Caenorhabditis elegans: one gene and its partners. The protein of the gene in region 1 interacts with the protein of each later gene in a biochemical or structural test. Each region holds a gene or a part of one and is shown in the gene's direction. Other genes may lie near its edges. The genes, in order: vang-1, lin-7, mpz-1 and stn-2.

The links.
Region 2: the proteins of vang-1 (region 1) and lin-7 form a complex in vitro, tested with the Caenorhabditis elegans proteins (one study listed by BioGRID).
Region 3: the proteins of vang-1 (region 1) and mpz-1 form a complex in vitro, tested with the Caenorhabditis elegans proteins (one study listed by BioGRID).
Region 4: the proteins of vang-1 (region 1) and stn-2 form a complex in vitro, tested with the Caenorhabditis elegans proteins (one study listed by BioGRID).

The regions. Positions count from the first base shown.
Region 1 is NC_003284.9:2,884,003-2,891,214, forward strand, and holds vang-1 (Vang-like protein), read left to right. Parts: upstream 1-1,855; 5' UTR 1,856-1,869; coding exon 1,870-2,025; intron 2,026-2,837; coding exon 2,838-2,971; intron 2,972-3,021; coding exon 3,022-3,154; intron 3,155-3,206; coding exon 3,207-3,425; intron 3,426-4,192; coding exon 4,193-4,635; intron 4,636-4,979; coding exon 4,980-5,198; intron 5,199-5,249; coding exon 5,250-5,418; intron 5,419-6,173; coding exon 6,174-6,299; 3' UTR 6,300-6,679; downstream 6,680-7,212. Other genes in the region: B0410.3 (Neuropeptide-Like Protein), read right to left, coding at 6,869-7,048, 7,109-7,212.
Region 2 is NC_003280.10:14,345,323-14,350,553, reverse strand, and holds lin-7 (Protein lin-7 homolog), read left to right. Parts: upstream 1-1,761; coding exon 1,762-1,962; intron 1,963-2,480; coding exon 2,481-2,638; intron 2,639-2,697; coding exon 2,698-2,773; intron 2,774-3,197; coding exon 3,198-3,392; 3' UTR 3,393-4,710; downstream 4,711-5,231. Other genes in the region: elof-1 (Transcription elongation factor 1 homolog), read right to left, coding at 74-212, 262-377; Y54G11A.17 (L51_S25_CI-B8 domain-containing protein), read left to right, coding at 1,148-1,312, 1,359-1,568; Y54G11A.9 (Core domain-containing protein), read left to right, coding at 4,829-4,942.
Region 3 is NC_003280.10:10,775,117-10,780,132, reverse strand, and holds the start of mpz-1 (PDZ domain-containing protein), read left to right. Parts: upstream 1-2,006; coding exon 2,007-2,059; intron 2,060-5,016. Other genes in the region: ect-2 (Protein ECT2), read left to right, coding at 1-100, 149-224, 319-460, 523-652, 1,041-1,191.
Region 4 is NC_003284.9:7,675,970-7,682,368, reverse strand, and holds stn-2 (PDZ domain-containing protein), read left to right. Parts: upstream 1-1,749; 5' UTR 1,750-1,844; coding exon 1,845-1,880; intron 1,881-2,024; coding exon 2,025-2,097; intron 2,098-2,533; coding exon 2,534-2,667; intron 2,668-2,712; coding exon 2,713-2,776; intron 2,777-2,828; coding exon 2,829-2,894; intron 2,895-3,415; coding exon 3,416-3,512; intron 3,513-3,941; coding exon 3,942-4,005; intron 4,006-4,059; coding exon 4,060-4,208; intron 4,209-4,294; coding exon 4,295-4,463; intron 4,464-4,886; coding exon 4,887-5,012; intron 5,013-5,065; coding exon 5,066-5,131; intron 5,132-5,176; coding exon 5,177-5,341; intron 5,342-5,386; coding exon 5,387-5,479; intron 5,480-5,527; coding exon 5,528-5,647; intron 5,648-5,691; coding exon 5,692-5,817; 3' UTR 5,818-5,858; downstream 5,859-6,399. Other genes in the region: mfsd-8.5 (Major facilitator superfamily (MFS) profile domain-containing protein), read right to left, coding at 6,240-6,332, 6,379-6,399.

The DNA.
Region 1 (7,212 bases):
AAAAACTTACGGCAAGTGCCGAGGTTGCGCGCAAATTTGGCAAATTGGCAGTTTTTTGGTATGCCCATTTGCCGGTAATTTCAATTCCGCCATTTTAGAGTTTTTCACTATGATATTTGCCTTCCCTGAGGGGCTTTTTTTACTCTTGAATACAAACTTCTGACAAATGTATACCTATTTATGCTATATTTCATATTAGAGACATAACAAAATTTTTGAAAAAAAAGTGTTTCTTTGTGATTTAACAAAGTTATACATTAGAAATGAGTTGTTGAATTTTTTCAATTTATTCCATACCAAAACTACTGCGTTCAGAAAAAACATCTGGTTTCTGCATAAGTTCCGTGAGTTTGTGTGTCATTTTTTTGAAATTTTTGAGGTCAAAATCAGTAGTTTTAGTCAAAATTGTTTTTCAAACTTTTGATGTGTGCGGAAAATTTCGAAATTTGCCGAGCTCGGCAAATTCCCCAAACATACTGTTTTGAAATTTGCCGAGCTTGGCAAATGGTGAACTTGACAAATTCGGCAAATTTGTCGCTTGCTCCTGCTACACAAGTACCAAAAAATAAATATTAGAACAACAAAACGTTGACAAAATTACGGTTGAAGCATTCTAGCACCTTTCGATTGTCACACTAAACAATCGATGCATAGATCCCAATTTTCACTTACACTTGCAAATGTGCTCCAATGAAATTACCATTTGCACTACTGTTGTGTTATCTACGTAACCGTTGTGGTTCTTTGGAGTGGTGTGTCTGCGCGCGCACACCTTCGCCTCTCACACCATTTTCACCCCACTCATCTTTGTTACTGCACACCCCTGATTTGTCGTCTTTCCATTTTTCGTTCACCTCTTGACGGATTGATGCTAATTTTATTGTACCGAGCTGTTTAGAATTCAACTTTTTCAATAGTCCTAAAGCTTTATATCTTGCCAGGTTGCCATATTTTCTTATTTTATGATTTTCTCAGCTATCTAAAATGCGGTACTTGTGAAAGTATACCTGGATTTAAAATATTAATCATTTTGAAAATTTTACGTAATTATGTTCTATACTATGTCCATAAGGATTAATGTTTTTCTAAACCTAAGAATACAAATCAATTTCACGTTTTGTTTAAATTGTAATTTTTAAAAGAAATGAATGGAAAACGTATTGAAACATATTTTTGAGCTAGGTATATTACACAAGTACCTAAAATAGATACATGTTTCGTCACAAAATAAGGAGCCCGTCAGCTAAATCTTACTTTTCGGTTTTCTTCTACCCAAATCCGCTCTTTGAAATCACCAATGAGTGTCGCATGTAATTGACGACCATTGGGAGATGAAAACCGGCTCCAAGGGGTGACAAGAAAGATGCTCCGGTCCGGGGGTCCGTTTTTCGAAAAGCCCCGCATCTGGTGCGGCCTAGCGGATAGTAGTAGACACACACACACACACACACGCACGCTCACTCACCATTCCTCTTCCCATTCCCCGCTCGCCTCTGACCACACCACACATACGCACACACTGGCCGAATGGGTTGCGCTGGGGCAAGCAGTGGAAGGAGAAAGAGGAGGACGCTGCATAATGTGTTAGAGGTTATTTTCTTTTCGGGGTCCCCTCTTTTCCGTCCACTCGTTTGTCATTGATCGTGGATGGATCGTTTACTTGCGGTTGTGTGTGTGTGTGTGGAACGAAAATGTTATGACGGCGTGTGCGCAACCCGAAGGGCTCGTTTTATCTCTTTTCACAAATTGTCTTTGCCAATCTATCGTTCCGTTCGGATTTTTTTTGTTACATGAAATATAATATGTTATAAATCTCATTCTTTTCAATGGATCAAAATTTTTGGAGAGATTTTTTTTTTCAGGTGGAACATGTCGTATCAAGATAACAGGAAACTTCCGAAAGACACGAGGAGTTGCGTTGGAGGTTTTCGGTATGAAGGACACAAGAAGCAACTACGACCAAGATATGCACAATCTGAAATTGGCGAGCCATTTATACCGAGGTTTTCTGCAATTGCTAGTGAGGTAAGCCTTTTTTTTGAAGATACATTTTAAAATGAAACTCAATTAAATGAGGAGTAACGGCTCTGGGTACCAATATGTGCTCAAAATGAACACATTTTTTTTGTAATGAAACTTCTCAACAGTGTTCAAAATGTTTTTAGTCGGTTTAAAATTTAAAGAAAGGGTTAATTTTTTCACATTTTGAGCAGGCAATTTTTATGCCAGTAGGTAACCAATTCAGGTAATTTTTGATTATCTATTCGCTTAAAAAGTTCCTTAAAAAGTAGGCCTGAAATTAGTTAAAATTTGAAATTTGTCCTACTCGTCAATGTCGTTGCGGCTGGAATCTTTTTTTTTGAAATTTCCGTAAAATTTTGAGTATACAATGTAATTATCCTGCGTTTTCAACTTTATTTAATTATTTTAAAGGCGATGAACGAAGAGATTTGGTAAAGTTTTTAAAAAACATAAATAAATGAAATACCGTGAGATAAACAACCAAAATATTCAATAAAAAAAAACAAAAAAACTGCTGTGTCACGGAAACGTGGCCAAAATTTGAGAATTTTTTAAAAAAATTCGTCTTTTTTTTCGAAATATTGAACCTCCCATAAATATTTTTTAGAAGTTTTATTACGAAATTCGTTTTTAATTCAGTTTCTGAAACTCCTTAAATTCTTTGTTCAGATGTGTCAAAATAAGATATAAGCCGACCAAATATCTTATCTAAAATTTAAAATGTCATAAACGCCGAGTCGATATACATATCTTATCGCTTTGCGTTTTCACTTTTGGAAAATCTATTTTTGAGTACATCTATAATTCATTTGCAGGGCCAGAAGATTGCACCACCTAACGAAGACTGGGCAGACAACACCACCGTGCTCACTGGAATGACGACGGATTCTTTCACAATGGAAGAAAAAGTGATTTATACCCCACCAATTGGACGTGTCATAGGAAGACGGTAAATGTTCTTTTTTTCTAATTTCACTTTTTATAACTATTGAAATTCAGGTGCTCTAGGTTTGTCTGGCTGTTGGCCTCGTCGTTACTTTGCATTATATCGGTGGTCAGTGCGCCGATAATGTGTTCATTGCCTATAATCGCACCACGTTTCGGCTTCAGCATGCCGGCAATTCAATGTGACGTGAGTATTTCGAAAACCAATTATATCGCATTAAAAATATAATGTATTGCAGGTCGATTGTGAAGGACTCCTGTTTTTAATGGCAATCAAAACAATCTTTTTGGTAATTGCAATTGGAGTTCTTTATTGGAGGAAAGCCATGGCAGACATGCCCAGGTTGTACTTTGTACGAGCTGCGCTTACATTTTTAGTCATGTTTATCCTGTTCGCGTTTTGGCTCTTTTACATTGTCAGGATAATGTTTGAAAGATACGACAACTACAAGTACATCGTAGGTTTTTTTTTTCAAACACAGTGGTGGCCAAAAGTATATGCGTTTTTGGGATTTTTTTGCTGGCTTTTTTTATAGTTTCAAATTAGTATAGCGCACAAGCTAGGTACCCTAAAAATTAAAATTCAACTACATAACTGTTACCTAGAATGTTGTCTACTTGATAACTCAGGTTTCAATAAATTAAGTCATTGAAATCAAAAGATATAGCATCGGGCACCTCGTAAGTCCTTTTTTTGCCACGTCCCTTTAAAGGTGTAGCAATGCCGGCACTCATCGTGAACAATTTCTGAAAATGGAGGTTAAATTGTTCTAAAACTTTCAGTTCAAATGTGAATAAAAGTGTAAACATTAGTTATTTAAAATAAATGCCTAAAAATATTTTTGAAAAAAATGACCAGATTTTCAACCGAAATTTTCAATTCTACCGATTGCGTAAGAAAAAACGATTGATAACATGCAATATAAAATTATTTGCGGATTATTTGTTACTAAAACTTTGCTCATGAAAACTGTTCATTCTTGAGTTACAGTCATGAGATGTGGCAAAAAAATTGGCTCGCGAGGTGTCGGCCGCTGTAACTTAGTCTTTTAAAATGTTGAAACTTGTGTTATCATGTGGACAAAATTTTAGGCAACAGTTTATTTGTTGAACCATTTTTTTTAAGTTCATAATTTGTAGCGAAAATTCAGAAGCGGGTATACTGTTCGACTTCACTATGAATCATTTCGAAAAAAAATTGTGAAATCATAATTCATAATTTCAGGTTTCCTATTCCACATCACTGCTCGACGCTCTTCTATGGACACATTATCTCTCTGTTGTGCTCCTCGAGCTTCGTCGTCTACGTGCCCAATTCATTGTAACTATTGTTCGCGATCCAGACGGTGAAATGCATACATTGAACATTGGCGCTGGCTCAATTCAAGAAGCTGCCACCGAGATTCTTCGTTTCTACACAACTCGATTCTCCTCGTTCAACATTCACCTTGACAACGCCAGACAGACGGCGGTTGCAAAGCAGTCTGGAATGCAAGGAGGCACCGCAGGCTTCAAGATGTACAATATCGAGCAATTTGGAGGGCAGGAAACTGTTAGTGAAGTCAACACGCGGGCTTTGATGGAAGCCGCGGCGAGAAGAAGGATTGGTGGATATGCTGAAGTGATGCAGGAAGAACTTGATTTTGAAAAACGGTTAAAGAAGAGAAAGTAAGTGTTTTCAAATTCAGAACTAACGATTTGGATACTTTGAACAAATTTTGTAATGAAACTTCTCAAAAAAGTTTAAAACTTTTTTTAAACGGCTGTTTCAACTTCCTAAATATTATATTACTTTTTTCAAAGCTATAATTTCAAATTTTGTCCACTTTTCCCTGTCACAACTGTTGGAATTATATTTTAGAGTTGAGGTAGCGAAATGATTTTTTGGACACAAAATGGCCTAAAATTAAGGAAATTTTTATTGAGAAGTTCTGAAAATTGTTCAAAAAAAATTATGGCGGTTCAAAGCTTTTAAAAATGGCCTCTTTTCGAAACTCATAAAATCTTTACAGGTATCGCCTAATTGCCGCCGCCGAAGACGCATTCTCCCATGTTCAGAACACTGCCGAGTCCGGAACGAACCAAAAGCCTGGAATTAACAACCAGATGGACTCACTGACCGCTGCTCAAAACGTATTCACATGGATTGTCCGGCCGCTCACCAAATATTTAAAAACTACTCGTCTTCAGTCAAGACATCCTTCAGGAGAAGTTACGAGGCACATTGAAAGGTACGTTTTTTTTAATAAACAGAATTCAAAGATTAAGCTTTCAAATTTCAGATGCCTAACACTCAAGTTGTCTCATCGAACATTTCTCCAACGCTTCTTCAGTGACCGTATTCCCCAACGGGAAATTGTCGGGGAATCGAAATGGTCGGTAATTTGCGACGAGGCGGTGAGCTCTGGAGTTCAACACGGAACGTATCTAGTGCTCAAATCGCACAACCCAGTAAGATTTTGAAAAGTTAATGTTGAAGCTAAATACACATTTAAAACGACCGAATATCATAATTAAACACTCCAAAATTTTTTAAAGATTTTTTGAATTTTACAACGTATTGGCAAAGTGCCAAATTTTTGAAAAGTCTAAGCATTAAAAAAATGTAGAGCAATTTCGCATGTTCGGACACTTACAAAGTTCGAACACAAATGTTTAAAACAAAATTGAAGTAAACAAAATAGTAGAAACAACTTTTTAAATCTACTTCCAACATTATGAGTGGCAAAACTGAGTAATTGTCACTTTTTGAAAAAATAATTCAATTTTGTTCGAAACGTTTTTCTGTTATATTTGGCATTTTTGGCACCATAGCAGTAGTATGTCCCATATTTCCTCCAGTAGTTTTGCATTCAAAAAAAAATGCTTGATCGGTCGGTAGGGTTGCAAGAGCATTACAAAAACACTTTAACAAAAAATATTACGAATAAAATCCGAAAATTGGTATTTCTGCATTATTTAAAGCCGATTGGCAACAAATTTTTATCATTTTATTCTGCTAAACCCATGTACCTTTGAATGATTTTATATTGCAAATTTCGGTAAGTTATCTTACGCTATTTTGTTGACTTAGGTACATCTCAAGCAAAATTTGAAACCGCCATCAAAATTTTTAAAATTTTTGAAAAGATTCACTCAAACTTCGCTCGAAAAAAAAACAGTTACTTCTCAGACTTGCTAAACCGTTTAATATTACCTTTTTTCAGGATATCGACTGCGGAGTTCAACTTGTTTGCACCATCTCGAGTATTCCGTTCTTCAATTTGACCGAGCAAGCCAAACCTGGAAATGAAAAGTTTTCCTTAAAAATTAGCAATGAGTCGGCAGTTTGATTTGTGGGCTAGTCATCATGCCATCAAGTAAACTTCCAAAAAAATGCCCATTTGATTTGATCAGTTTTTTAAAAAATTTTTTTTACCTGTTAGCTTCTTTTCTTCAACTTTTATTCTACATCATGCTGTTTCTATGTACGGGTTCCTCATCTGACCGAGATGATAATGACTGACATTTGACATCTCTATCGCGCTGCGTCACTTACTTCTTCGAGTATTTATTTTTCTTTAAGTTTCTTCACATTGACTTATGGTCTGGTACCTTTTCAATATGATATGAATAATTTATTCAAGTTTAAGTTTTTCTTAATAAAAAAGTGATTATTTATTATGTATATTTGATTTTAAAAAAAGAAAAAAAATACATCATGGAAAGAAAAATCATTTTTATGAGATCAGAGGTGGTATATTTGTTTGAGTGTGACTGACTTAGCATGTTGATTAGATGTACATCAGGAAATACCCGTAACACATCACTAGAGAGAACATGTCAAATCGAGAGTACGCTATGAAAAATGAAGGAAACGGATATATGAAAAAAAATGCGAACAAGATAGTTTTAAGTTGGATTACACAAAAAGTCTCGGGAACATCAAGCTTCTCTTCTTCCTTCCAAATCTACTGCTGGTGATTCTCTGACTATTGAAAAACGTGGAAATTCTGTCGTTGATCGTGGGATCCATATCATATACAATACCGTTCTCATCCATGAACTGGTTGGGCGAGAAGTTGTCATTGATTTGTTTTTGCTGAAAACAGTATTGGTGAAAACCGATTCAAATCTAAAAAATTGAAAAGTATTGACTTACCCAATCATCTTCTCCGCGCAAATGAAGAATCGGACGGAAATCAGTGTTTTGCATTCCTATCCGACGTCGCGTCAATTTCTCAGATCTGTAGGCATCGAGAAGAC
Region 2 (5,231 bases), on another chromosome or scaffold:
ATCAACGCGATGGGGATTTTGGAGGCTTATAAGGAGGTCGTATAAGAATTTAAGATTGACGGATGGGGAATATTCAGGCGTTATTTGCCTGCTCACAGGCATCCACCCAATCAGAATAGACGTCGATTGGCTCGGAGAGGTAGTTGATGTTTGTTTGGAAGTCTTCAGAGCAGACACGACACGAGATATAACCGACATTCTTTTCGCGATCCCTGGAAAATTATTACGTTTTTTTTTGAAACGATTTTCCTTAGAAAGTACATTTTCACTTCACAAACGCGTTCATGATTGCAAAACGGACAGTTGAATTGGGTGTCGAGTGGCATTACAGCCTTTGCCTTGGTTGGAGCCTTTCTCTTCGACTTTCGCTTTCCCATTGCTGCGGATTGTTTGGATTGGTTCTGAAAAACAATTATTAAGTTCGGGAAACGTAAAAAGAACAGAATATTTTTGCAGAAGGTAAAAATATGTTCCAATCTCGAAAAAAAAGTTCGAAAATTACATTTAAATTGCAAGAAAATATACTAATATACAAACCACTCAAAAATGCGACACTCAGAAATACTATATTGTTTTTTTCTGTATTCTAAAAACTATAACGTATGCACAATGTGAAAATTTTTCGTGAGTGTCGGCTTGAAATTCCACATTTTTGGACTTCAAATTCACAAAATTTTTTGAATCATCAGGTTTTATATGGAAAATTTACCTATTTTGACACAAAACATAATATTTCTATCATATAAAAACGGCAAAAATCCGGCAAAAAGTAACACGAAAAACAGCCAAAAAAGAAATTTCGAAACAAAATTGGCGCGAGGAAGACAGTTAGATGCGCAGGTTTTCTCGACTACGGTCTGCAGTACACGTTGCGTACTGCGTACAAAAAATGTTGACCGTAGTCTCCAAAACAATTAAGCATTTATCGGACTTTCCGGAGCAGGATTTATTCATTTTATGCTTAAAATTAAACATTTCTCAATATTTTATCAATAAATTAAATGAGAAAATTGTTTAAATCGTTAAAAAGCATTAAATAATGCTGAAAAACGTTAATTTTCAATAAAATATCTTTCTAGTGATGCAATGCAACTCAAAATTATAATTTAACAATTAAAATTATCTAAATTCAAATTTAAATATTCAGATGGGCCTCAAGGGATTCACCGGTAGTTTTCAACAAATTCGCGGACTTCTACGACCACCAAAGAATCTCCCGTTCCGTGGAATTTTCCGGAAAGACGGAGAAGTTGTGCGAAAAGACGATTTGCTGGTGAATCAATTCAAAATGAATTATCATCCAGGGTTAAATGTAAGATTTATTATCAAATATCTTTGATTATTGAGAAGTTATTCAGGTTTACTATGAAAACGATCGCGGAGAACGTCTTCTGCGTGCCCATTGCGACGGAATCGTTCGTATCTCCCAGGAAAAATGCGATCCGGACTATGAAATTGAGGAGATGAAGGGATACGAGTATAGGAAAGACGTGGATTTGTACAAAATGACGTTCAATGTGATTCCGCTGGAATTGTCTCAGAAGCACACGCTGCGACATGAAATTTAAATTTAATTTTTTGTCGATTTTTTTTTTGGTTTTGTTGTGTTTAATAATTTTCTGACGGGCTATGGTCAATTAGAATAGTAAATAATGTTTTTCCGCTCTGGATAGCTTAATTTTGTAATTTTTAATTGGTTTTCTTGCCATTTTTACCTATTTCCGTCCTATTTTTCCCCTCCTTTCCAACCAAATCTTCCAGATGGATAACCCGGATGGTCCGAATTTGGAGCGGGACGTTCAGCGTATTCTAGAGCTCATGGAGCACGTTCAGAAGACTGGAGAGGTCAATAATGCAAAATTGGCATCGCTGCAGCAGGTGCTACAATCCGAATTTTTCGGTGCCGTCCGAGAGGTCTATGAGACTGTTTATGAATCAATTGATGCGGATACAACGCCAGAGGTTCAGTTTTTTTTGATAAAACTGACAAAAATGCCGGAATTGAAATTTCCGGCAAATCGGCATATTGCCGGAATTCAAATTCCTGGAAAATCGGCTTATTGTCGGAATTGATAATTCCGGCAAATTGGCAAACTGTCCGAATTAATACTTCCGCCATATCTGCAAATTGTGGTTTTGCACATTTTTTTTGGAATTTTCAAAATTTAAATTTTAAAAAATTCAAAAAGGCACAGTTTTAAGTGTTTCCGTATAATGAAAATCCCTACAAAAAATTCCGGAAAATCGGTAGTTCGGCGAAAATCAAAATTTTCGGCAAATCGGCAAATTGCCGGAAATGCAAATTATGGCAAATCGGCAATTTGCCGAATTTGGCAAAAAAAAAGCCGAGCGACAATTGCCGCCAACCTTGATAATTAAAAGTTGTCGAAATTTCAAATTGTAGTTTTTTTATTTTTCGAAATAATTTTGAGCCGTTTTTGAACAACAGAAAACAAAAAAAAACACTAAACATTTTTCAGATAAAAGCCGCCGCAACAGCTAAAGCAACAGTGGCGGCGTTTGCTGCAGCCGAAGGCCACGCGCATCCACGTATCGTTGAGCTCCCAAAAACCGATCAAGGGCTTGGATTCAATGTTATGGGCGGCAAGGAGCAAAATTCACCGATTTACATCTCCAGGTGCAGATATAAAAATATTTAATGATTTTATAATTTAAAAAAAACGATTTGAATTGCAGAATAATCCCTGGTGGCGTAGCCGACAGACACGGAGGTCTCAAACGAGGCGATCAACTTATTGCGGTCAACGGAGTGGTGGGTTAAATGTTTAATTCAATTTTTTTTTAGTTTTTTTCGGAAAAAAAACATCGAAAAATATTGATTTTTCAATGTTTTTCAATGAAAAAAAAATCTAAAAATTCATTTTTTTAAGCAAAAAACGAAACTTACTTTAATTTAAGTGTTTTTTTATCGAAGATTTCAGATTTTTAGTGTTTTTCAGAAAATAAACCGGAAAAAAGTAAAGGAACCAGTAATAAAAGACAGAATTTTTCGGTTTACGAAGATTTCCATATAAAAGAACATTATAAATTTTTCTTAATATTTTTTTTCGAAAAAATGAACAATTTATTCTCATTTTTTAAAATTGAAAACAACTACACTTTTAATTAGTAGAAGAATATAACTCGAATTAGAAAAAAAACTTTGATTCAAAAAAATAACTTTAAAAAAATTTCAGAACGTGGAAGCCGAATGCCACGAAAAAGCAGTTGATCTTCTGAAATCCGCAGTCGGAAGTGTAAAGCTAGTGATCCGTTATATGCCGAAACTCCTGGATGAAATGGAGCGGAGATTCGAAAGACAGAGAATTCGATCCACTCAGCAGAGTCCAACACTCCCGACGCCGTCTTCTTCGACAAATCCACGAAGATAAAAAAGACGGAACATTTGTAGAAATCAAGAATTCGAGAATTTTTGGAAAAAATACGAAAAAAGCCACAACAAAACTAAATGTTACGGGAACACTAAATTTCGAGAATGCGTACTGCGCAACATAATTGACGCGCAAAATATCTCGTAGCGAAAACTACAGTAACTCTTTAAAATATTACTGTAGCGCTTGTTTCGATTTACGGACATCATTTATTAATCGATGAAATATCGAAAGAAAACACAAAAAAAAGACAACAAAAAAACAAACAAAAAAATATATTTTTATTTTTTATACAAATTTGTGTTCGAATTGGTTTTTCGTTTTTTTTTTTGTTGTCTTTTTTATGTTTTCAAATGATGTCCGTAAATCGACACCAGCGCTACAGTAGTACTTTATAAAATTACTGTGGTTTTCTCTTCGAGATATTTTGCGCGTCAATTATGTTGTGCAATACGCATTCATGTGCTCCCGTAATATAGATAATGGACATTAAAACAATATTTCTAAAATTTTTGCATCAAAATGTTTTGAGGCCCCACGAAAAGGGGAGCAAAACGAAAAGGGGATCTGCAAAAAGGGGATCTGCAAAAAGGGGATCTGCGAAAAGGGGAGATACGAAAAGGGGAGCAACGAAAAGGGGAGCTGGCACTGTGCCAAACGCACAAAACGCAATTTTTCTCACGCAACGCACGTTGATTTTTGAAATTTTCTTCTAGAAGATACGCTTAACAACACGCGACGCGTAACATCGGAGCATCGTTGTATCGTTTTCTTCGAGAAAAATAGCGCTTGGCACAGTGCCAGATCCCCTTTTCGTTGCTCCCCTTTTCGTATCTCCCCTTTTCGCAGATCCCCTTTTTGCAGATCCCCTTTTCGTTCTGCTCCCCTTTTCGTGTGGCCTCAATGTTTTACTGCAAGAGTTCGCATTTTTCTGCAAACATTGATTAGTTTAGCCGAGAAAATAGAACTTTTGTAGCAATATTGAAAGATCTTTTCTTGAAACTGAAATTTTCGCTGAAAAGTTTGCATTTTCCACCATAAAATCCCTATTTTTTCTATTTTTTTCCAGTTCATGTATACTCATTTCTAACTTCTTCTCTTCTATTCTTTGTTCTAGATTTTTAGATATCCCTATATGTACATTATTATCTCTTTTTCCGTTTTCAGACAAATTTCCAAAACAATGTTAATCTCAACACTCACCCTCTCCCCAAATTATTGCCCAAAAATTGCTTTAATAATCTTGCTTTGCCTTACGTTCTTTCAAATAGGTGCTTTTCTCCATGTATCTTTAATAACTAAATTTTTAAAATAATTTTTTTTCATTTTTCGGCATTTTTAAAAAAATATTTTCCATGTTTCAAAAATCACGAAAATCTATCTTTTTGATGTAAAATTCAACTTTTTTCAGATTTTTTTTTCAGAATTTTCTCGAAATGCTCACACAAAAAATCGGCAGACTAATGGCTTGTACAGTAACCCGACAGGCTCATCGGATGCTCACCGAGCAAGAGATTAAAGTGACGAATAAGGCAGCGAGCAGGCTTAAAGTTAGTCTGTCCTTGGGCGCCCAATTTTTTTGAAAATTAGAAATATTGTAAATGGAAAAACGAGAAATTTCGATTTTCCAGTTTTTTTTTTCGGAAAAAAATCGGCACTTTCCTATTTTTCAAAGTTTTTCAAAGCATTTAATTTCCGGTGTTTTTTTTACAAAAAAATTGTATACTTTTGATTTGTAGTGCTTTTCAGAGAAACCCCGATTTTCAAAAAAGAAAGTTAAAAAATTTTGTGAATATTGTTCGAAAATTCAATTTTTTTCAATGACTAGAAAAAAACCTT
Region 3 (5,016 bases), on another chromosome or scaffold:
TGAGTGATTGTGGGAGATTCTTCTACTCGTCGGATCCATCAGATATGAATGAGATCAACGATGCGATGGTTTCGGATATGACAACTCGATACTTTAGAAAGTAGGCTTATTTCAGGTTTCAAGTCTTTAGAAAAAATCAAAATTTCAGTCTTTGCGGAGCGAAACCACAATATGGACACGGCAGTCAGATGAACATTACGGTCAGTGAACGATCTACACAAAACGTGAGAAATGAAGTTTGATACATGAGTGGAGAAATTAAAATTGTCCACAGTGTTACACCTAACTTGAATGCTTATATATAAACTTTTATTACAGGAATGGTCACACAATGAGTCGTTTATGCCACCACCACAGTCACAGAGTCGAATGCGACGAGCGTTCAGTAATGCTCAACTCACACTTGCCACCACGCTGGGCTTTGGCAGAAATCAGAGTCGAAATAACTTGGGACAAATTAGTGCGTTTTTAGAAAATTTATTTTTTTTTCTTCTGAAATTGTATTTGATTCACTAATTTCAGACGAGAACACGACATTTCTGCAGTCTCCCAGAGTTTCGTGTGATCCAGCAGCTCTCGCAAACATGACGTCAGTCGGCGGATTGCCTGGATGCCAAAGCGAATCTGAATCGACGCCAAAGCGAGGAATTCGGTACGTCAATGCACCCCACAGATTTATCGGAGACAACACGTTTTCGAGATCTGTCCGAAAAGTCAATTTGAAGATCTACGGTTTCAGGATGTGGCACCGTGTCAACTAGAAATACTCGTAGTTTTATCGAAGAAAAACTTAACAATGATGCTCCTTTGTTGTCACGTTTTTCTTCGAGAAAACCACGAAAATTTCTAATTGGCACGGTGCCAGATCCTGAAGCCGTAGATCTTCACATTGTAGATATTCTTTTAGTAGATCTTCTTTTAGTAGATCTTCTTTTCGGCCGGATCTTGAAGGCGTGTTGCCTCATTCATTGACCATATTTTCCCATGAGTTAATGCCAAATTGACACTCTACATCTAACATATCCTGTTAGTTATTTCAGTTCTCGCCTCACCTCGACAACGTTCCTCGGCGGCCGACACAACATACTCGGACGAAACACGTCGATGCGCCGTCAGGCTACCGGATTTGCTCATTCGGAAAAGGAACTACCTCGCTCAAAAACATCTTCATATCGTGTCACCGATATCTGAAACTCCCCGCACCCGTGTAACTGATAACTCGAATCTCTCCTCCGACTGATAAATAATTCGTTCTCACTCTTTTCCGAGCTTCATACCTCCAGATGCTCACCGGTGTATTTTGATGGTTTATTTCTTGCTTGCTCTCAGCTCCCTCCCTCTTACATTTTTCATGTTTTCACCCGTAGTTTTTCATTTCGTTTTTGTAATTACAACAACCGAAACTACCGTAATCACCATCCACAACTACGACCAGATCCTTTGTATCATACTGATTTACCATTTACCACAGGTGTATTTTTCCCCCCAAATCGTCATTATCATCTTCCTGTCCCCGAGGCTTGTGTGACCATTGCTCCTTGACTTTTATTATTTCCCCGAAATCACTTGTATGCCATTCTTATCCGATACCCCTTTCCCCTTTTATTCTCACCATTCATTTGAATGGTCATTCCCCCACAGTAACGTTACGATTACTTTTTTCTTTTTTTTTGAAAATTCAAATTTTATTCTTGTTAGAAAATGCGATAGGGGGTTCAAATGAAATTACACCCTACTTGTCTTTAAGTCTTTGAACTCTCTAAAAACAAAGAAACAAAGATGAGATTAGTGAGAAAAAGGAAACATGGGCGGAGCCTTATAGATGGCCCCTGGAGATTTCATATCTTGGAGCACATGCCGCTTGGCTTTTATTCATTCATTCCGAAACACGTCTTGGCCAGGATCCTGCATATTAGTATATTTTAAATTCAGATTTTTAAATTTTTTTTATCTTCTTAAAATTCGAGCTAATTAATTGTGATTCAGAATCTGGAATACATCATTGAATGATCGATGAGCCAGAGGATATAATAGCAGTTGAAGATGAAGCCGAAAGAAGGTAGGTCTGAAAAGAAAAAATGATTCGAAAGCGAGAAAAAAGATGTGCGTCTTTAATAAGTACAATAACCCGCAGATTCCCGTTATTTCGATAATTTCTCGGATTTTTCCACACATTCTTGCTAGAAAAATATTTTTTGTTCAGAAACAAAACTGAAACTTCTGGTAAAAGTGAATAAAATCGAAGAAAAATGGAAAACGCCGCAGCTGGGTTACTGTACAATTTAAAGGCGCGCACACTTTTCGCGCAGCCTCCAAATTTTATTGGGGAAAATCGCTAAAATTCGCAATTGGATAATAAGAGACTGTTTGAAAAACTTTCTCATACATTTTATCAGTTGATTTGGGGCACGATCGCGCTCCACTGCCAAATTAAAACGCCCCGCCCCTAAACGTTGGGTCTCGTTAGGAATTGGCGGCAAAACTAGAAATTCGAACATTTTCAGTCAATTTTCGCCAGTTTCGTTTTTAGGCTGTTTTTTTAAAATTATTTGTATGTTAAAATTGATGAAATAAAGCTGGTTATAAGTTTGGTTATAAAAAGCTGCGGCAAAAAAAGGGGGAAAATATATTTTAATAGAACGAAGGAAATGCAATGTCTCAATAATATAGTTAGACCCTTCATTTTGTACTCCATTTTTGGTGTCCCCCCGTCCAGAAGGAGACGTCTTCCTTTTCTTCTGCTTCTTCTTCTAATTATGCATCTCCTCTATACTTTTCCTCATCTTTTTTCTTCTTCGTTTTTTTCCTTGGTCCCATCTTTATTCCAATGTTTCTTTGTGTAGTACCACTACCATATGTTGTTCTTTTAATACACTTTCCCTCCTTTCTTGCCTCATTTTTCTTCATATTATAGACATGGTGCATCATGACTTGAAGCATCATGCACCCCCAAAAAAGAAAAAAAAGTAAACTAAGTCGAAAAAGTTTTCGAAAAAGCCCTTTTCCCTGATTCCTATACAAATAGCATTGTGCCAAGTGGACGTTGTTTGGTGGGAAAAAAGGTGCATAGAGAAGGGCGGGGGTCCCGGAGCCGGCTCAATGTTACATCCGTTTCGGAAGAGTTGAAGTAGACAAGGAGAAAGATGAATTTAAGGACTCTTGGGAACTACGCTAGAACACCTTTTCGCTTTTGTTTTCGGAAGTATAAAAAAAAACAGAAAAACTTAAAAAAAATAGAAACTTGATTTAAGCATAATGATTTTTCTGTACACAGAACTGTTATGGGGTTATTCAAGTAGTGTCGGAAAATTAAAAAGTGTAGAAAAATTACGTCACAACCTTATTCAAGTATATAAAAACATGTATTTAAATACATTTGTGACGTCACAAATGTATTTTAATACATTTTGCTACATTACTTGAATAACCCCATTACTCCAAAAATACGGTACCCGGTCTCGGAACGATAATTTTTTTGTTAATTTCAGACTGGTATGCGTCTTTAAAGTGTACTGTAGCCACAAACTTTTCTCATTGCAGATCGATTTTTTAACGCCTGTAACAATGTATATATGGGAAAGAAAAGTATTAAAAATCGATGAAAATTCCGCAGCAACAAATGTTCGAATTTACAGTACTTTTTAAAGGCGCATACCTTTTTGAATTTGAAAAAATTGTCGTGTCGAGACCAAGGACCGTATTATTGAGATAACAATCCGAACGCTTTGGCATCGGGGCTCCGGGAGCTTACCTGAAACCTTTCATCATCTGGAAGAAAACCTAAACTTTCCCGTTTTCCTTTCTGGAAGAACAATATTTCCGAACAGTTGCTTCATTGTTTATAGTTTTGGAAAATAATATTATAAGTTGCCGTATCTTTTTGTTTTCTTTCAACAAAAGATTCAATAGATTTGATTTAGGGTTGTCATACTATTTTCTACCATACGGTACCTACAGGCTTCACCCAAGTAATTAGAATTTTCGCATTCCTCTAAGCTTGGCTACATTTTTTTGTGAAGGCATTTTACAGGCGAGTGACGGGTGACATTCTGTCGCGCCTCAGTAGAACGCGAAGACGGGTGTTTCCACCTGAACCTTCTCACCCAATATGTAACTAACTTCTCAAAAACCAATCCTGGCTTCCACAGGACATCGATTCTCACCAGTTTCTCACCCGTATCAATCGGATAAATCTGGTCTTTTCTTCTTCTTCTTCTCAAGATGCTACTAGCCACCAACACAGAGCACGCCTACTCTTCCTCTCCGTCCGTCTACTCCGCGGCAGCTCCTCCGCCGCCAACTCCTTTTCTTTTCTTCATCTGCTACTTCTTCTTCTTCTTTTCGTCTTTCTGCTCCAACGCAAGACGATAGCTCAATTATCCACAAACACACACACACACATGGAGAGAAATACACACACACAAATGCATCACATTCGCACTCCGGGGAGGAATAGAAAAATAGACGTCGTGTACTTCCAGATTCTGGTTTTTTCTGATTTATGACAATTTTTTCCATTTCTGTCGTACAGTATTTTGTTTAACATTTTTTAAAAATATCTATATGCTGTCAGCACTTTTCATTCCGCCTCCAAGTTTAATAATTCCCCAAAGAACTTTTATCAATTATCCCTAGAAATTTGTTCTCTACAACTAATGTCGGCGTAACAGTCATGCGTAGGCGTTTTCGGCGTGAGGCAGGCAGAGGTCACCTTCAGGTTTGCCCTAATTTTGGATTTTTTGGCCTATTTTTCGAATTGCTTTTTTCCAACAAATGGATAGTTTTCAAAATGTGAATTTTAAGTAAAGATTTTTTTGAAAAAAAAAGAAGCTGGTCGCCTCGATGATTTGAGACCTTGGATAATCAGCTCGAAACTGGTAGATTATGTTTCGATATGAGTTCGGTTATGGATGGTTACTGTACACTATTGCTGGAAAACCGGACGTACACTTTACGTACACCAAAATCATGCCAGTCTTACTGTACACATTTTCAATATTCCAGAACATTTTTTTC
Region 4 (6,399 bases), 4.8 Mb from region 1:
GAAAACTTATTAGTTTTCTTTGAGTAAATTTAATTAGTTTTTTTTCTTCAAAGACCACATAACCAATTTTTCTGAAAAAGTTATGTTTAGATTTTCCAATGATAAAATACCTTGTTGACAAAATTTAAAAATAACAATTGATATCATCAACAAGGAACAGTCGATACATAGACACATTAGGGATTAGGACCGTAGACACCACGGGGACTGTACTGCGTACTATGCGCTGGAAATGACGCGCAATGGAGTGCAATAGAGACCAGCATATAACTATTTCAATGAAAATGGGAGATTACTTATTTAATAATCGGTATTTAGGTTTTATAATCTCACATTTTAAAAAATAAACTAATTTTTCCATCAAATTTTCCATATTAATAATACGTGATACACGTGTTCCTCTTCAAGTTTAAGTGGTTTTCCAAGAATAAAAATGCAAAAGGATTTCGAACATTTCCATTTCTGATAAATTAAAAAGGTGTTATGATTCACAACAAGGTTTAATAAATAACAAAATACGTGCGTACTTTGAAAACAGTTATATATATCTAATTTTTAAAATTAAAGTTCATGTATTTTGTCGTTTAATTTTTGACACTATATGAGCGGGTTTAAACAGTTTTCCTACTGAAGGTACTCCGTTTTTAATTTATATAACAAGAAGAGCTACAAAACACTTTGTGGTTTGTTTCAAGCAGAGAAAATGTGATCACACATATGTACTCAAAGAAAAAATCACAATTTTAGTCTCTCTTGATGACTCAGTTGACTAAAGGCAAAAAAGTCAGCCTCGTTTGCACAACAACGATTGTGAAATATATTCCGTTGCCTTTCTTTTTTGCCAGTTGCGGAACATTTTCATATGTGTTTGCGCCGCCGAAAATCGTCCATCATTCGAAATATGGAAAGCGAAACGATGTGTCTTTGTATCTTCAAAACGGCATTTCTCAATTGAAGCTCAATGGCTCATTGACATTCGAAGTGAAGACACAGTGTAGGGTCACGGCGCTAAAATGCGTGTTTTCCCATTGTTTTAATGGGGAAAAAGGACAATAAGAGTAGAAAACGGCAATTCGTCAAAATGATTGATTATATTCATCAATTAGTTTGCAGGAAACAACATGCAGAAATGTGGAAAAGATTTCAGTGAAAGTTTCAATTAGTTTGGAAAATCACTAACTGTTGAATATGAATAAACAAATGGAGAAAAAACAGGGATGTTAAAATTTTTATCAAAAGTCACTCCTCAAAAAGGTATTCCGTTGCGGGGAATCGAACCCCGGCCTTATGGGTGAGAGCCATAAATCCTAACCACTAGACCACAACGGAGATGGGTGAGCAATGGTCGCTGCTTAATGATAAGAGTACAGAAAACTTTGTGACTGTGAACAATGTGTAGAAAATTTTATCAGTCAGAAAGCAGCACGCGAAGAAATTGAGAAAAATGATGGTTGCCTTTCCGGCAATCTCTTTGGCAACAGTTCCAGAATTTCAGCTCTTATTTTATATCTTTTAATCAGTTTTCAGACTATGATCAAAACTTTGTTGGATGTTAAAAATATTGGATGACTCGTTTCTGATATTAAAAATTCAAACCAGCTGTTTATCATCTTGTTTCTCACTTCCTTCAACTGCTCGTTTTTGCTGTTCGTCTATGATTCCGCATCTTTTGCTGTTGTAATGTGTGTATTACACCGCTTCCGATGAGCAGATAGGATAGATTGGAGCTCGGGCGCTTCAAAGTTGACTCGTGTGAGGTGGCACACACACACGCATCTTTAGTCCCTCTAGTTCATTGTCCTTCATTTTTGCTACATTTTATATTCTCTGTTAAACAAGGCTAAATGTCCGTTACGAAATCACACCATAATCTGGATGTGGTAAGTTTAGCAAATATTATGAAATTGTTGGTTTTTAATGGGCATGTTTAATTTTTGTATAGTACATGCCAGCAATCTGAAGTCTTATGAAATACAAGACTTGACAATATGTTAAATGAAACAAATTCCAACAAAAAATTTCAGGTTCATCATGGAATAGTACTCATTAGTGATGGGAATGCCACTTCTAGATCGTCACGACTGCTTTTATCCAAAGGTAAGAGGAAATTAAAATGGAACTTGAAATAGAAATAAAATGGAACCATCAATTTTTGAATGTATGCATTTTTTCCACACTTCTCACATGGGGCCTATAAAAGCCGCACAATTTGCGAAAGCGAGAAGGGCCTGAAAAACGAGGAGAAATGGGGGAGAAAAACGAAAATAAAAGAAAAGTGTGCAATGACGGCCTCAACTAGTCGTGTGAAAACTTTATTAGGCAGCTCATGGCGCGGAAATTGGTGCCTAGCCTACAATTGAGTTGTTGAGAAAAGAGGAAAAAGCTGTCAGGGTCCCGCATCTTCGTTTTTGTCTTGCGCTTCCTTTGCGCTTTTAAAACTCCAAAAAAAATTTGGTAGAAATGACATGAAAATGGCATGAAAACTATATAAAAAGTCATCCAAAAAAAGAAATATCGTAACATATTCTTGCAGATGAGTTATGTATTCAAGTCATTGACGATGGTACCGCGGAGCCCGAAGAAGCCAAAGAAACATTTCTAGAAAATGCAACTCGGCAAGTTGTCATAGTTAAAAAACCAGACTCGGGGTTCGGATTGTCTATTAAAGTGAGCAATTGAACAGGACCGGTGTAATACTTAGAACTATTGCAGGGAGGATCAGAAAATGCACAAAACATGCCAATAGTAATCTCCAAAATATTCAAAGGATTGCCAGGTAAATCGTCAGATTTAAAATTTTAACATCTAGAAAAATACTTAAATTACAGCCGACGAATGTGGAGAGCTATTTATTGGAGATGCTATCGTAGAAGTAAATGGAATATCCATAGAAGGTGAGGGAAGAAAAAGAACGAGTAGTCTTCATTAGTCCAATCATTTGGTTCCCCTCTGGGAAATAGGAACTGAAAACGAATGAGCGTTCATAGCAAAGACCAAAAAGTTAAACTAGTTTTTTTTTAAATAATAGAAATAAAATGGAACCATCAATTTTTGAATGTATGCATTTTTTCCACACTTCTCACATGGGGCCTATAAAAGCCGCAACAAAATAACTTTTGGCAATTCACGTTCAAAAATTTAACATAAAAATTTAAAAAAAAAAAACAAAGTTGTATTGAATAATAAAACAAGTCATATGCTGTACTTTCCCTATTATACTTGCTCCTTCTCTGTTGGATGGGTTATATATGCCGTCCTAAGTTTCATAACAAATCAATTTTTTTTCAGTTGCCAATTAAAAAAAAACCAAAAAGAACTAACTAAGATATAAGCTGTCAAAATCAAGCAAGGGCATGATGGTACAAGTCTAATAGGGAAAAAAAACGGTAGACTATTTTTTCATATCAACTTCCAGGTCAAAGCCACGACGAAGTGGTTAACATGTTAAAATCAAGCGGTGACCAAGTAACTTTGGGTGTCCGCCATTTCACCCATATGACGCCGTTTCTAAAGTGAGTTTGGTTTTGTGGCGAAAAAAATTTGCTACTCAAGTCAGTCCCATGCATCGCCTTTCTTCCTATTTCCCGCTTCCTTTTTCGATTTTCGACGTGGCGTTACTTTGGCGAGAGGACACACAAAAAAAGTATGGTTGAAAAGAGTGGAAGAAAGAAGCATGAAAAAGAAGGAAAAGGACGAAGAAACATGAGTAGAAACAACTGATGGATTAGAGTGTAGAAGAGCTCTGCGCAGGGGGTGGTTTGAGGCAAAGCACGCGGAGCCTTACGCCATCCTCCCTGATGAATGCTTTTCACTGCATTTGAAATTCAAAAATGTGCGCAGTAGGCAAACTGCCGAGGGACACACAATGTTTTGCGCAGAGTATATAGTTGCATTTGATTTTATATCGGGGTACCAGAGACGTTGGAGTGACTACTTTTCAGACCAGCACAGTCATTGCAACCCGATGGAACATTGGATCAGCTGTTTGATGGAAGAAGTACAAGGGTAAGAAAAAATCCTAAGCTTCCATTTTGAAATTATTTGGAGTTTTTGCTTCAGAGCCACAAAGCGCAATCCGAATCCCGACTCTCCGACTCGAAATGGCAACAACATATTGACGGACGGGAAAAGAAATGGAAAACGTTGACGTCTCTTCCGTTGGCAATGGCTTATGTCACCAGATACCTCTGGGGAACCGACAATATCAGGTTTGCTTCAGATTTTATTTTCGTAATGAATACATACAACGGGGAGCTTTTTGTATTTCTTGTTCAACAAAACTAAAATTTTACAGGACAAACTCTTTCGAAGTTCGTGCAGTAGATGGAAGATCGTCGGGAATTGTGCATTGCGAAGATACATCGGCGCTGGAACAATGGATCTCGCACATCAGCAAACATATATTGTCGCTCAACCAAAAGAGTATAAAAATGAGCAACAAGTACTTGCATCAGAGTGAGCAGGTCAGTATGCAATGATATGACTTCAATGTTTGGTAGGCACGTTTGGTTGCCTTGAAACATCTGTTAAAAATACGACATCGGAATTAAAAATTAAATGTTTTCAGCACACATCAGATTAATGATCCAACATTACTGACTATGAAGCCGTTTTAGGTGTCCAGAGAATTATGGGTCGAATGATGTATTTTCTAAAAGCTAATACAATGGAAATTACGAATTCAGAATAAAACTTTGCTTAATCTAATTTTGAGGCAATTATTTTTGCTTTTGTCTGCTCGATTTAGGATACTTGATGGAAACATTGTTGTTTTTAAAGCCGACTATCTTGTTGAAAATTGAATATTCAAGAAAATAGTCAACTAGTAAATCTACTAACATTATGCACGGTTTTTGCAGTAAATAGTTTAAATTAATGTTTTTTAGATCAGCTACATTGGTTGGGTGAATGAATACTTGAATGATGATGATCAAGAAGAGCTTAAAATCCGCTGGCAACCTCGCTTCTTGATTTTAAAAGGCAGTGATGTCTGCTTCTTTGATGTTCCGCCGGTATGTTTTTTTTTTAATTTTTGAACTTATTTTACATGATTCTTTTTTTCCAGCTAAACTCTGAAGATCTCAACAAATGTGTCTACTTGTACAAATGTTATGATGTTGCTGTAAAACAGGTAGATTATCAAAAAAAGTAGTAATTCTAGAAGGGATATCTACAGGTCCCAAACTCTAGTCCACGAAGAGATAAGCGTGACAATTGTTTCTTAATAGAAACTCCATTGCAAGTTCCAAATCACTACCTGTCATTTGAAGCTGTATCTGCATTTGAACTTTTTGAGCAAGCATATTACCGAACCGTATACAATACCATTTCCCAAATGCAGGCAAGTTTATTTAAATTATTCAACAACAATAACAGTTAACTTTAGTCCCGAACGTTTGCCTGTAACTTTGAAGGAAGAGCCAGTGGAATCGTTTTTGACATTAAACAGGGAATTAGTCTATATGATATTCCTACTAAGGTAATACTATTTCTAACTGTTATTGATATTGATACAATTTATTTCTAGAGTTACATTTGGCAATATCGGTTCAGAGATTTACAAGCCGTTGCTGATGATGGCAAACTGTGTGTCCAGTTATCGTTCAATGATGATCGTTCATTGAATTCCGATAGAATAGAAGTAAAGGTTAGTGGTTTTGCAACTTTCCGAGTCAAGTACTCAAATTGCAGGACATCGAATGCGAAGATGTGGTAACAGTTGTATTCAACCTTCATTCCTTTGTTCTTGCCAGAATTGTTTCCACTGATCCAGACTATTTGAAGGCTAATCGTTATGTTGGAAATGCAGAGGACTAATGATTTTTGATTTTCAAAGCATAAATATTTTTTTGTTGTTGTTCAACTGTTGTTTAAAACAAAATTTGAATCATGAGTTAAAGCTAGGTTTTCAACATTTTTTTATTTCAAACTAAAAATAAAAACAATCTGCATGCCGTAGTCTACCTGTAACTTATGGACCAGTTTTGAGTCATATGCAAAAAATCAAAATTTCATTGAAAACATATGACTTTTTTCAGGTTTCTGGCACAATCAAATTGTCAATTTCAAAAATCCTTTATTTCAATAATCATAAATTCTAATTCTCAAAGAATTATATCGATAACAAGATAAAGACACGCGATGAGTCAAAATCAACCGGTTTCTGTTTGCCGTAATATTGCACTTACAACAGTACTCGAAAACTCAAACAAAGGTGAAATAACAAAGTAAAGAGTTGCCTAATTCAAAGGCTCAATCTTCTTCGTCTCATATTTCTCGAATGGAACCATTCTCACACGCAATATAATCCACGCACTAATAAGGACTACCAGCTGAAATCGTTTGGGTTTCTATTGAATTAACTGCAGCAATACTCACGTTCACAATTAGTATCAACCA